Kluyveromyces lactis: one gene and its partner. The protein of the gene in region 1 interacts with the protein of each later gene in a pairwise test. Links are inferred from orthologs where the notes say so. Each region holds a gene or a part of one and is shown in the gene's direction. Other genes may lie near its edges.

Region 1 (6,792 bases):
GGAAGAAACGAAACAATTTTGTAGTCAATAAGAATATGATTGTCGGCGTTTTGTTTATACCATTATATAATACAGTATGTATATGCTATTTTGTAAGGAGTTCATTGGTTGTTCCCTGCTCTCACTGTCGAACGGAGATATTTCATATCTTCCATGATTAACTTCTTCAACCAAATGATCTCTTTTCGTTGTTCCTCTAAATCGTTCTTTAGATCTGTTATATGACGGTCTTTTTCTTGCAACAGTTTTTCGTACGTCCTTATAGTAACCTCAGTTAGAGATGATGTCTTTTCTTGGTCACTGACTGGTGGTGTATTTTGTAGTTGCAAGACATCTCCCACGACGTCGGAATCTTTTCTAGTGATATATTTCCGTACTCGCTTTCTCGCAGGTTGCTCTTCCTCATTGATCTGTTCCATAGCTTTCCCATTGGTACTCTCGGTCATTGCTCTGGGCCAATCAAACTGGCTATTGGGACTTTGGTTGGCATTTGCCTGGACGTTAGAATAGTAATCCTGATCTTGTACTCTACTCACTTGTTCCAGTTTATTATCCACCTGTGATAATGAAAAGTCCGGTGAAGTGATTGTATTTACAACCGATTTACGTCTGGGGGCAAGCACGGGCGATTCCCTAGCAGACGCAGTGGTACTTTTCCCTGGCCTCCTCAACGGTGTTATTAACCCCGTTGTCTTGTCGTAGACTTTGTCGATGTTGAAAGATAATACCTGCCATAGAGGATCGTCCACGTTATCCCGTATCTTCCAGTTGTTCTCATCCAACTTCAAAAAATACCGATTGTACGGGCTCACGTCATAACTTAGCAATATCTCTTTCAATATCTGTTGAAATCGCTGAAACAATTCGATATTTGATTTGGGTACGTTCGATTGTTCATCTAAGGGTACGATTGTCACTAGAGCATCGTAAAGTTGTGAGAGACTTTGGAAATATTGCATATGACGTTCGTCCAAGGGTTTCAGCGATATAGGAGATTGCTGATTCGGACTAATCGTGGAATTCAATAGCTCGGGAAGCTCCAAGACTTCTCCGTTGGATATCAATTGGTAACCCTTGATCAAAAATACGTCGAGCTTGATCTGATGATGCATGATGCCTGTCGGACTACTATGTGAAGTGCTCCCGATATCAGACATGGCTCTTCCAGTATGTGTACGTAGCAGGGGAGGGCCGATCTTTGAAGTCCGTAACAAGCAGTTCAAAGACCTTAAGTATGCTGCCGCTTCCGCAGATTTTCTCGCTTACTGTGTATTTCTTTCTCTCTTTCTCTCTATCTTTCGTTTCGTTAAGGTGCAACATTTCCACATTGCATCACCTTATGTTCTAGCAAGAACTAAAAGCGACAAAATTGCAAAACAAAGACGCATCTCATTGAACACATAGAGCCCTTCTGCAAGGGCTAAAATCCGAAGCCTTTCATATGTAGACCAAGGCAGTACCAAAGCTAGCCGGACCTAGATCGAAGATCGTTATCAACTTATAACGTAATCCACTGACGGACATATACATTCACATCACTGAGACAGAAATATAAGTCACGTGAAGAAGTGGCGCCATATATATGTATATATGCCTTAGTTCCCCAATACATAGACTAGTTACGATATGTGGTTCATCGAACTGTAACCATTTGATGTTCCCATGTCACTGGTAACTTTTGTCCTTGCCTTAGGTATCTTTGAGTGTCTCATTTCCCATGGCTATGTTCGAGCCTTTTAATCGGTGAAAAGTTTCGAAACGGTTAATATCACGTAAAAGATATCAATTCCATATTTAAATTTAGACGAGAATGTAATTTGACTGAAACAACAACGTCTTTTGATAAAAAAAGTGTATTCTATACGTTGCAGAGCTACATTAATCAAGTGAACCATTGAACGAGACGAGTTTCAATCAATTGGATAGGAATCATTGTACTTTGGCGATTCTATTTAGAATATAATTGGAAGTGAAAAGTGAAGCCGTTTGATCTTGGAAGCAATAAAAAGATGTCCGCTAGTCCTGTATCTCAGGTATTCTCACCAAGCAACAATGGGGTCAGTGTGTTCCGTAGAAAGAAGGAGAAGAGAGGTATTACTTTCTCGATGATGTTGGTTGGTGCTTCTGGTACTGGTAAGACCACTTTCGCTAACAATTTATTGGAATCTACCATTTTCCCTCATAGATATCAACAAGATGTTCCAGCTAGCACGAATAACGAGAATGTTAAGATTATCCAACCAACTAAGGTTGTCACGTTCAATTCGATGAACGGTATTCCCAGCTACATGTCGGCATTTGATCCAGCCTCGCCGTTTTTGGAACCAGGTATCACTGTGACGTCTACTGCCCTGGAGATCACGACGAAATCTAGTGAGGATATCGATAGCGCTACCCCTGAAAAGATCAATTTCTTTCTCACCGACACCCTGGGACTGGGTGAAAACTTAAATAATGGGATCTGTTTCGATGAGATTGCTTCATATTTGGAGCAACAATTTGATTCGGTACTCGCTGAGGAGACCAGAATCAAGAGAAATCCAAGGTTCCAGGATACAAGAGTTCATGTCGCGTTATACTTTATTGAACCCACGGGACATGGGTTACGTGAATTGGATGTTGAAATTATGAAGAGACTATCCCGCTACACAAATGTTCTACCAATTGTCGCTAGAGCAGATTCGTTCACACCTGATGAATTGACTAGGTTCAAGAAGAGAATTATGGAAGACATTGATAGATTTAACGTTCCTATCTACAAATTCGAAGTTGACGAAAATGAGGATGATCTAGAAACAATTGAAGAGAACAAGGCATTAGCGAGACTTCAGCCGTTTGCTATTATCTGCGCCGACCAACGCGATAATGCTACCGGTAAATACTATCGTGAGTATCCATGGGGTAAAATTGACATCGATAATGAAAACATTTCGGACTTGAAATTGTTGAAAAGGGTTCTCTTCGGGTCCCATTTGCAAGAGTTTAAGGACACGACACAAAATCTGTTGTATGAAAACTACCGTGCTGAGAAATTGGCGTCTGTGCCAGCCTGGGACATTGAAAACAACGAAGTTATAGATACTTCTATCAATGACGAAAACAATGAGGGTAATTCTTCAGGGTTGATGAAAGGGTTGACTAGAAACAGTACAGCTCCATCCTTGTCAAATTTCGCCTCTCTAATAAATACAGGAAAGTTTAAGTCTCAACAATCACTTGCAATTCCACCTCAATCTGAAACCCCATCTACACCACGTCTAACCGGGGTAGATGAAGGAGATGAGTCTCGCGCTTCAATCTCTGCCAGTTCACAGAAATCTACTCCTGCCAATATTCAAACTTCTCCAGAAAGAACAAAGTTACGGAATATTTCCGAAAATATCCCATACATGCTTCAGCACGAGCGCATAGTAGCAAGGAAACAAAAGCTTGAAGAATTGGAGGCACAATCTGCCAAAGAGTTACAAAAGAGAATTCAAGAACTTGAAAGAAAGGCTATTGAATTGAAGATGAAGGAAAAGCTACTAAGACAAAACTCACATAGTCAATCTCAAGAATCTATCCAGACTAATACAACTAAACAAAATTCAACTTCTGGAGGTGCTTACATTAAGAAAGAGGAAACCTATAACGATTTAGCTTCGATAATCAGCAAAAAAGAATGAATTCAGTCTTGATATCTTTCTTTGGCATTTTTGTAAGTCGAAGTGTTTGGTTCCTGAAACGATTTCATATGTAATTTAAACAATATTGATTATTTTGTATATTGCAAACGGTCACGTCTAGATTGATCTGCTACCTGTTTCCAAATTTGATGAGTTTAAGATGGTGATGTAAAAATCAGAAAAATATACGTACTGTTACAGGTATATATATATATATAATATAATAATGAGTTAAGGTATTTTCGTGCCACTTATCAATAAATGGAATTTATCTGTTCAGATGACATAGTATTATGAGATAAAAAAGATTGGTGAAAAATTTATGTTCATCCAGTGCTTCAAGATAAAAAATAGCTAGTGTAACTGGAGAGAACTAAGAAAACCGAAAAATGCAAAATAATGTTCCCGATGGCAATTAAAAACATCAAGAAACAACATTCATTCAGCGACGATGAGAAAAGGCACTGGGGGAAATAATAGGAAAAGAGATTTAACCGAATTGAAAAATGGTTGCAAAATAACATTAAAGAGTTGGAAACAAGACATAATTGATCAATAAAGACTTCAAGTGCGAACATAAGTCATTTTAACAACGCAAAAAAGGGTTATGACGACGTAAATATGAAGTGTAAGAAAAAGGCAATGGGAAGATGATCTTTTTATAATATTTTTCATTTGGAGAATGCATTTTCGTAGGAGTAATTGGTAGTAGATGACTTTAGATCATTAGTGACTCCATTTGCAAGAGTGGCAATGCTACTATTGTTACTACCAGTGCTTCCATTATTATTGTTGCTTGAACTTGGATTGCCGCTGATAGTTTTACCATTTTGAGCATTATTTGAGTTGCTAGTTGGTTGGCCAGAACCACTGCTTCCACTCCTTCTGCTGTTTGGACCACGAACACCAAGTGGGTTTTTAGAGAAACTCAATCTAATTCCACCTTTGGTGTTGTGTGCGCCAACTGGTCTTGGTAATTGACTACCATATAATTCGGCTAGAGCTCTTGTAGCATGTGCGACGTCTTCAAACTCAACAAAGCACATAGGACCATGCCCACTGTTATTGTTGTTCTTGTTTCTGAATGATAACCTCTTGAATCCTTTTTGACCTCCAAATAGTTGTCGTAGTTCTTGTTCGGTGGCATCTGGAGGTAGGTTACCCACATAAAGTGTATTGCAAGGTGGATTTTGATCGGCTGGATTGGCTGGAGGAGGAACTCTTGCTAACAACGATAAGTCCACCTGAGAAATTCCAGGAGTATTCTGTAAAACACTTGCCACACTTCTGGTGATAGGTTGTGACTGAGTAGAGTTGTTAGCGTTAACATTAGTTGCAGATGAAGAATTACTAATGTTGGTTCTGCTGCCAGATTTATGAGGAGTATGCGACGTTGATGAAGTTGGTGTTACAGGTTTAGAAGACACAGAAGCTGAGGACCTACCGTTCATCTGTTGGGCGACACCGACCTGTGAAGATGGATCAGAGTTTGGCGGTAAATTTGTCGCACTTGAATTGGCCTGTTGAGGGCCAGAGAAAACGGAACTGCTTTGCTTTCTAGCAGCACCATTCTTGGATGCAGACCAATCTACAACTGCATTTTGTTGTTGTTGATTGTACGTGGTATTTACCATGTTGTTCACAGTAGAGAGTGAAGGGTTTGATCCCCAAATTGTGTCATTAATGCCATCTCCTTCCATTAACAAGAATGATTTACCAGCATCGATGTTTTGCAGTGGAGTTTGAGCAGACGTTTGTGCAGGTGGAATATGTGGATTTTCTGCGCTGAAGGGATCAGAAAATGAGAATCTAGACCGTTGTCCTAGCAGACTGGGCCTTTTCCGACTTGATGATTGGGGAGGCGATGTCAACGTTGGAGCAACGTTTGAGGATACGCTTCCGGATGATGGTATTTGAAATGAGTTTGTGTTCAGTTGTGGCTGCAACTGAGGTGAGTTTGTCTGGAAAAACAGCTGTTGATTAGTTAATTCGTCGATGACCTCCACCGCCACCTTGAATGGATATGCTGGACCGAATATTTGGGATTTGATATTAAGAATAGAGGCATATTGGCATGCCAAATGCTGAGATTCAAATTTTGCCACCACGTACGGTTGGTTATCTTCATGAGGTATCACATCAATGGATAGTACACCATGAGCCAATGAGAAAAGGGCATAAGCCTCCCTCAAGTTTATGTCGGTAGGAATATTGCGCAATATCAATAGATAACTACCAATGGATGGGGTTTGTGGTTGATTTCCAGTGTTAATGGATAATGTGTTCAGTACCGATGAGAGGTTTAGTGGTGAACCACTGTGGTCCGAGTGGTGGCGAGGTATTGTCGAACCATTTGCATGTGTTGGCGATGCGTTGCTGGGATTAACTGCTGATAACTGTTCAGAGCTAGTACTGAATCCACGATGCAGCTGATAAGTTGTATCGAAGGAAGGATGGATCATCATGGGGTTTTCGTTGATGTTATTGGAGTTTGGATTTGAGTTGATATTGCTTATTGGCATATGAATGATGGCCTCGTCGTAAGAATGATCAATGTGTGGAAATGTGCACTAAAGTAACACTAATGCCAAAAAAAGACGATAAATGAGATGAAGAGCGAAGATTCACTTTTTGTCAAACGCTCAAGAAACTCAATTAAATAGCAGAACAGAATAATCACCAAAGAAAACAATGTTTTGCTTTCGACAAAATGCTGAATAATTGTTGAACTGTGTGGTGTCTCTCTATCGACTGGAGTTCTTCTCTAAGGTTAGAATATTGGTGGATGAGTTCACTGTTTTTTTAACCAATCACAAAAGGATGGGAAGCAGAAAATAGAAGAATAAACTGCTATTCTCCAGGTACGTGAACGAGTGAAGTACGCAACTCCTATCTCACTGTTACAAAATACAATTGATAATGTTCTGAAACAGGACTGTACTCCTATGATTCACAAGAAGAATGAGACTTTTTTCCTTCTTTTCCCTCTTCTCTTTTGTTTCTTGAAAGTTTTATGTAACCCTTTTGTTCTTTAGGAAGTAATTAATTTTTTTTTATCAAAAAAAAAATTCCTTTAAAAGATATCGATCGAGATGGGTTATTTCCAAGAAAATAGTATGTTTCCAAA
Region 2 (6,045 bases), on another chromosome or scaffold:
GGATGACATCCTGTACTACGTTATAGTTAATTTTAAGGTGCTATCTCGTCAGTAGGAGAAACTACCTGTACTTCCTTATTTTGTGTTGCATAAAGATATATGGTCCTAAGAATCAAGCAAGAATCATTGATTTTTCAAATATTATGGCATGCAGACGATAGAAAGAAGGACGCAAGATAATGTACAAAAGATAAGAAATACAGTTTAAGCTTCACCGCAGTAACCCAGTCACTGATGTTATTTGGAAAAAATGTCTGTTGTTTGAAATATTTTTGTTTTCTGTCTTTTGTTAAACTATATACATGTTGGAGAGAGATGATTTCGTTTCGACATGATTTATGTATCTACATAAGAAGCCATATAAAGCCATTTAGTAACCCTTCCTCTTGGCGTCCTTGACCACCTCTATTAAGTTCTTGAAACTCTTCATGAACTCCTTTCTGTGCTTTTGAGACTTTCTCAATTCTCTTGCCTTACCAGGCTTCAAATAGAACCTTTGAGCCCTCTTGTCCTTTTGAATGGAGTTCGATCTTACGATGGACCCTAGCCTTTGGAAAGCAGCCATGGTGTTACCGCTAAAGACATCAATAGTTCTTCCAGCTTGGATTCCTGTTAGCTTGGAACTCAAAGTATCTTCTCTTGGCGACTGCATCATTGCCGAAAAGGACATGTCTTTCCTAGATCCGTTTGACGATTCCTTTGCACTTTTAGATAGCGGAGTCAACCTTGTATAATCTATGATTTCTTGTCTCCTAATAGTGCATTGTGTAAATTGTCTGGACAATAAAGTAGATGTCCTGCTGGCACCCAATTGGAACCCTCTTGCAGTTAGCATGGTTTGATTTGCTTTCCTATCCTTTCAAAATGTTAAGTCCCGTAGCCCGATAAGATCGCGTTAGACCTCACCTAAATTTTAAAATATCCACCACAAGCAGTTAGTTCTAGTAAACTTTCCCGTTATAAGTGTCGGTTCAAAGAGTGCAGAGAATGGCTTCTTTTGAAGTTTGGAATCCTGCTCAGATGTTGGTTTTTCTTATCTTATTTCATTTCGTCAAATTTCATGTTGAAAAATTTAAAGCTTTGGAAGATTGAAATTCTTGAGAGAATATAAAGGTAACAAAGCAATGGTACGTATACTCTGGTCATAAAGAGATGAGGTGACCGATGTTATACAGACAAGTTCTGCAAAGACCCATATTGCAGAAATCAATTCTAGTTGTTTAAAAAATGGTGGCTGATACAGATGTCAAAGAGATTGTTGTAGATGCACTTCCTGAGGTTTCTGAACCTGCAGCTGTTGATGACAGTGAAGTGACAGAGGATGCTACCGTGCAGGATAAGAAGAAAAAGAAGAAGAAGAAGAAGAAGAAGGGTAATAATATGAAGAACATTGCTTTAATATACCCTGATGAGAAATACCCTGAGGGACAGTGGATGGAATACCATCAAGATTTCAATCTGAAAAGAGTTACCGATGAAGAGAGGAGATACTTGGAAAGAAGTGAAGAGTACGAACAAAGGTGTAATGATATGCGTAAAGGTGCTGAGATTCACCGTCGTGTAAGGGAAAGTGTTAGAAATAAGATCAAGCCGGGTATGACATTGACTGAGATTGCTAATTTGGTGGAAGACGGGACTAGAAAGTTTACTGGCACTGATGCCAATGGGGATCACGTTGATAGACCAAAGAGCCAAGGTATTGCGTTCCCAACTGGTCTATCGCTCAACCACTGTGCTGCTCATTTCACTCCTAATGCTGGTGACAAGACCGTGTTGAAGTTCGAGGATGTAATGAAAGTTGATTTCGGTGTCCATGTTAATGGTTATATCATCGATTCTGCGTTTACTATTGCATTCGATCCACAATACGATAATTTGTTGGCTGCTGTGAAGGATGCAACCAATACTGGTATTAAAGAGGCAGGTATCGACGTTAGGTTGACTGATATCGGTGAAGCTATTCAAGAAGTGATGGAATCGTACGAAGTGGAAATTAACGGTGAGACACACCAAGTGAAACCATGCAGGAATTTGTGCGGCCACAACATTAATCCTTATTCGATTCATGGGGGTAAATCTGTGCCAATTGTCAAGAACGGTGACAACACAAAGATGGAAGAAAACGAACATTTCGCTATCGAAACTTTCGGGAGTACCGGTCGTGGGTATGTTATACAAGAGGGAGAATGCTCTCATTATGCTAAGAAACCCGGTTCACATCCAACACCATCCCTATCGAGTGCCAAGAATCTATTAAAGGTTATTGATGAAAATTTTGGAACTATACCGTTCTGTCGTCGTTACTTGGATAGATTGGGCGAAGACAAGCACGTATACGCTTTGAACACATTGGTGAGGCAAGGTATTGTAGAAGACTACCCACCATTGAACGATATTAAGGGCTCATATACGGCTCAATTCGAACACACCCTTATCCTACATCCTCACAAGAAGGAAATTGTCTCTCGTGGTGACGACTATTGAAAGATACCATAAGACTTGTCGTAGTCAATACATAACAAACGCTACAACATATGCATATCTAGGTAAATTCAGTTTCGTTTAAATAGAATATAAAGTATAAAAGAACTGAAATCAAACCGTGCACTGTTGGTACCTCAAAAGATGCTTAATGCTCTTAGTGAGAGGGAAGTCTGTGTCGACTGCTCGCTGCATGATAATTACGTAACGAGGTTCAGTGCCCATTTCATTTGTTGTGGTTACCCTCACACATAAATACCCGAATTTGACATTTTGCAAACAAAGAAAAGTTGAACTAAGCGATTACAATTAAGAACAGAGAGACTTAGTTTTTGGCAGGATTTACAGTGATCGGTTCCTAGGTTAATTGTTCGAAGATTATCAGGTACGGTTATCTAATTCGTTTATCTTTCTATTTGGGATTTGTTATTTCGTTAGATTCGGGAAGTCTATTAGTTTTCCAGCTCTAACACAAGTGTGTATAAACTGTTTCTCACTATTATAAGTTTACAATGGTTGAAATTACTCCAAGTGTATTGGAATACAAACGTATGTGTCGCTTTGAGCAGTGGTTTAAAGGGATTAAAAACCACTTTACTATATGATCAGTTACAAAATATGGTGTTTAGCATTTGAAAGTGTACTTCGTGTGGTCAAATGTGTGGCCATATTGGCTCACTTTTCTTGCATGAGAGACAAATAATGGGATGAATACTTAGAAGGATTACAGGGATTCTGATAGATGTTCCATATCCTCAACCACATGGAATTATTCTCCGATGCTTAGATACTCAATATTATGTTTCTGTTATTATGCATTCGATATACTAACAAGCTTCCAAATCATTATTTCAATGTTTAATGGGATCATTTTTGCGATTCCATTATTCAATGTGATTTACCTCTCTGTTTTCGTAATAGCACCTTTCACTAGCCAAGCAGCTGAGCATATTACCATCAAGAATGACTCAGAACAAACAATTGCCTTTAAGGTGAAGACCACAGCTCCTAAGGTATACTGTGTAAGACCTAATGCCGCTTTGGTGCCAGCCGGTGAAAGCGTTGATGTTCAAGTGATTCTTTTAGGATTGAAGGAAGAACCTACACCAGATTTCAAATGTAAAGATAAATTCTTGGTTATAGCTTTGCCAGCTCCTTACGATTTAGGTGAACTGAGTGTGGCCGAAGCTTGGCCTCAATTGGAAGCAGAGTTCAAGAACAAGGGCCTGTCAAAGAAGATTAAGGTAAATTATCAACTAGATGCTGAACCAAGAGTCGTGGAAAATCTAGAAACTGATAACGTGCAAACTGAGACTGTCATTCCTTCAGCCAAGGAAACTATTGCTAGTGGTTCGAAAGCTACAGAAGAGTCCGCTAGTGAACCGGTACAAAAGAAATCTGTCCCGGTTGCATCTGCCAATACTGACCTGGATACTGAAAAGCCAAAAGTTGTGGAAAGTGAACCAAAGCTCGATGAAAAGGTCAAATCTGATACCAGCGCTAACACTGAAATTATTGCAGAACCCGCTAGTACGTCGAATATTGCACCGGCCGTGGTCATTTGGATCGTTATAGGTTTCTTACTTTGGTATTGGTTATCTTAGGATACATTCTGATTAAGTGAGGGAACTATCAACCATCGTATAATATATGACAACATATTTCTCGACTTTGATAGAAATGTTGTTATGAATTATATTCGTATTTCTTTTCTTATCTACGTCTGTTTCTTTTGTTTTAATTACCCCCGTACTTTTTAACCTGTTTGTTCTTTTCTTTGCAGGATTTCTTCATGCGGCTAAAATCATTCTTCATTATTGTTATTGTATTATCATTACAGCCATTAGTACTATGTTTTCCCCTAGCCAAGACATTGACAAGATATTTGAGTTAGTATTGAAATTGTTCATCTTGTGACACAGCTGTTCTTTTCATCGTTGTTTCGTTGAAACAACTCATTGAAAACAAAGGGAGACGAAAGATATTGAACTAATTCTCCTTCAAATTGATCCCAATATACTCAGCAACCGTCATTGATACTTTTCTTTCTGGCTCTTTTTACATCCTTTTTTTTTCTTCTGTTTATAGAGGCTCTTTTGGCAACTGTCCTATATTCAATTTGTCGCATGCCATCAAATGATTTCTCAATTGCAATGAGCTGGACAAGGTACTATTTGGCACAATACCACCGACCCTTGTCTTTAACTAGCTACAGGTACAACGATATCCACTGAATACATGAAGTATATATATTTGTAATTCCAATCACATCGATACGATGTCAGCACTCAACTCTGCGTGGAAAGTCCAACTATTAGTGAGTAAAAATGCACGCTTGATGCCGTCGTCAAACATATAAAAATGTGAAATGACAGTGAAACTAGTTGAGTAAGCTGAGTAAATGAACGAAAGGATGTTTATGTATTCAATTCAATTCAATTCAATATGAGAGAAATTATGTTAAGAAGTGATTTGATAGTTTATATTGACAATTTAAAAACCTAGATATTAAAACATTTAAGCTTCCAAAGCCAATCTAGCCTTAGCGTTGGTAACCTTGATACCGTTCTTCTTAGCTTCAGCCAAGATAGCAATTCTGTTCTTGGAAGAAACGTTGTGAGCGATTTCAGCGGCGAAGGTCTTGGTGTGCATCAACAATGGGGTCAAACCCTTGACGTTGGAGACAAGAACAACCTTACGGCCATCTGGACCCATGAACTTGGTCTTCTTGTTGGAACCGTAACCGATGGTTGGTTCAGAAATGTTACCTCTGAATCTTCTTCTAACAACAGAGTCAATACCCTTTTGCTTTCTCCAGTTTTCAGAGACTCTGTGGTAACGGTCAGAGTGATGACGCTTGAACTTCTTGGTATGTTTCTTAACAATCTTTGGGTGTAGAGAAGCAGCCATCTGTTTAAAAATTAAAGTAATATCGAAATATTGTTATCTTGTTAGTATTAATGTTTTTTGCCTGATAGAGCGGATGTTGTGCTATTCCACTATGCCTCTATAGCAAACGGTATATCGACCTAATGAGCTTTTTCTTCTGAGATGAACTGGTGAAAGTGAACAAATTGTGGCAAGTATAAGGATGAGTTGAGTTTGTCTAATATTAATAAAACATGGAAATCTTAAAAATTCTAGATTAAGAATCCAGGCAAATTTTTCGTTATAGATCCCCACTGTAATAACCTGTTTCAATATTACAACAATTGTCATTCATTGCCAGTCATTAGTTTTATATCGTATGATTTTTAGTACTCTTACAAATCACAAACCACACATTGCTCATCATATCATACCAAATAATTTCATTTCTACCCCACGGTAATAGATGGATGAATATAAGACACTGAATCAACATGTTATAAACTCATTGATATAGATATCCCACGTTTATCTAGTTAAACTCATTGGTTTTTTGCTTCTCATTGTATCTCACTCAAATATCGTCTACATCTGGCCGTTCGAAACGCATATCAATTCTCATTTCTATTCCGCACGTATTGTACCACTATGTACATACCTTGAACTATTCTTTCCTTGCTGAGTCTTTCTATCTGA

What was found.
Region 2: the proteins of SHS1 (region 1) and SCS22 interact in binary tests that used the Saccharomyces cerevisiae proteins (3 or more experiments, as listed by UniProt). The link is inferred for Kluyveromyces lactis from reciprocal best matches to the Saccharomyces cerevisiae genes SHS1 and SCS2.

Annotation. Positions count from the first base shown.
Region 1 is NC_006042.1:1,937,680-1,944,471, forward strand, and holds SHS1 (septin SHS1), read left to right. Parts: upstream 1-2,009; coding exon 2,010-3,665; downstream 3,666-6,792. Other genes in the region: GCR2 (Gcr2p), read right to left, coding at 102-1,157; KLLA0_F20834g (uncharacterized protein), read right to left, coding at 4,337-6,187. UniProt on the Saccharomyces cerevisiae protein: Septins are GTPases involved in cytokinesis that assemble early in the cell cycle as a patch at the incipient bud site and form a ring approximately 15 minutes before bud emergence, which transforms into an hour-glass shaped collar of cortical filaments that spans both sides of the mother-bud neck.
Region 2 is NC_006041.1:622,047-628,091, reverse strand, and holds SCS22 (phospholipid metabolism-regulating protein SCS22), read left to right. Parts: upstream 1-3,260; coding exon 3,261-4,085; downstream 4,086-6,045. Other genes in the region: AVT5 (amino acid transporter), read right to left, coding at 1-9; MRP21 (mitochondrial 37S ribosomal protein bS21m), read right to left, coding at 371-835; MAP2 (methionine aminopeptidase), read left to right, coding at 1,228-2,484; RPL32 (60S ribosomal protein eL32), read right to left, coding at 4,999-5,391. UniProt on the Saccharomyces cerevisiae protein: Acts as an endoplasmic reticulum (ER) membrane anchor for cytoplasmic proteins via binding to the FFAT motif of targeted proteins. Regulates phospholipid biosynthesis by modulating the subcellular localization of the transcriptional repressor OPI1.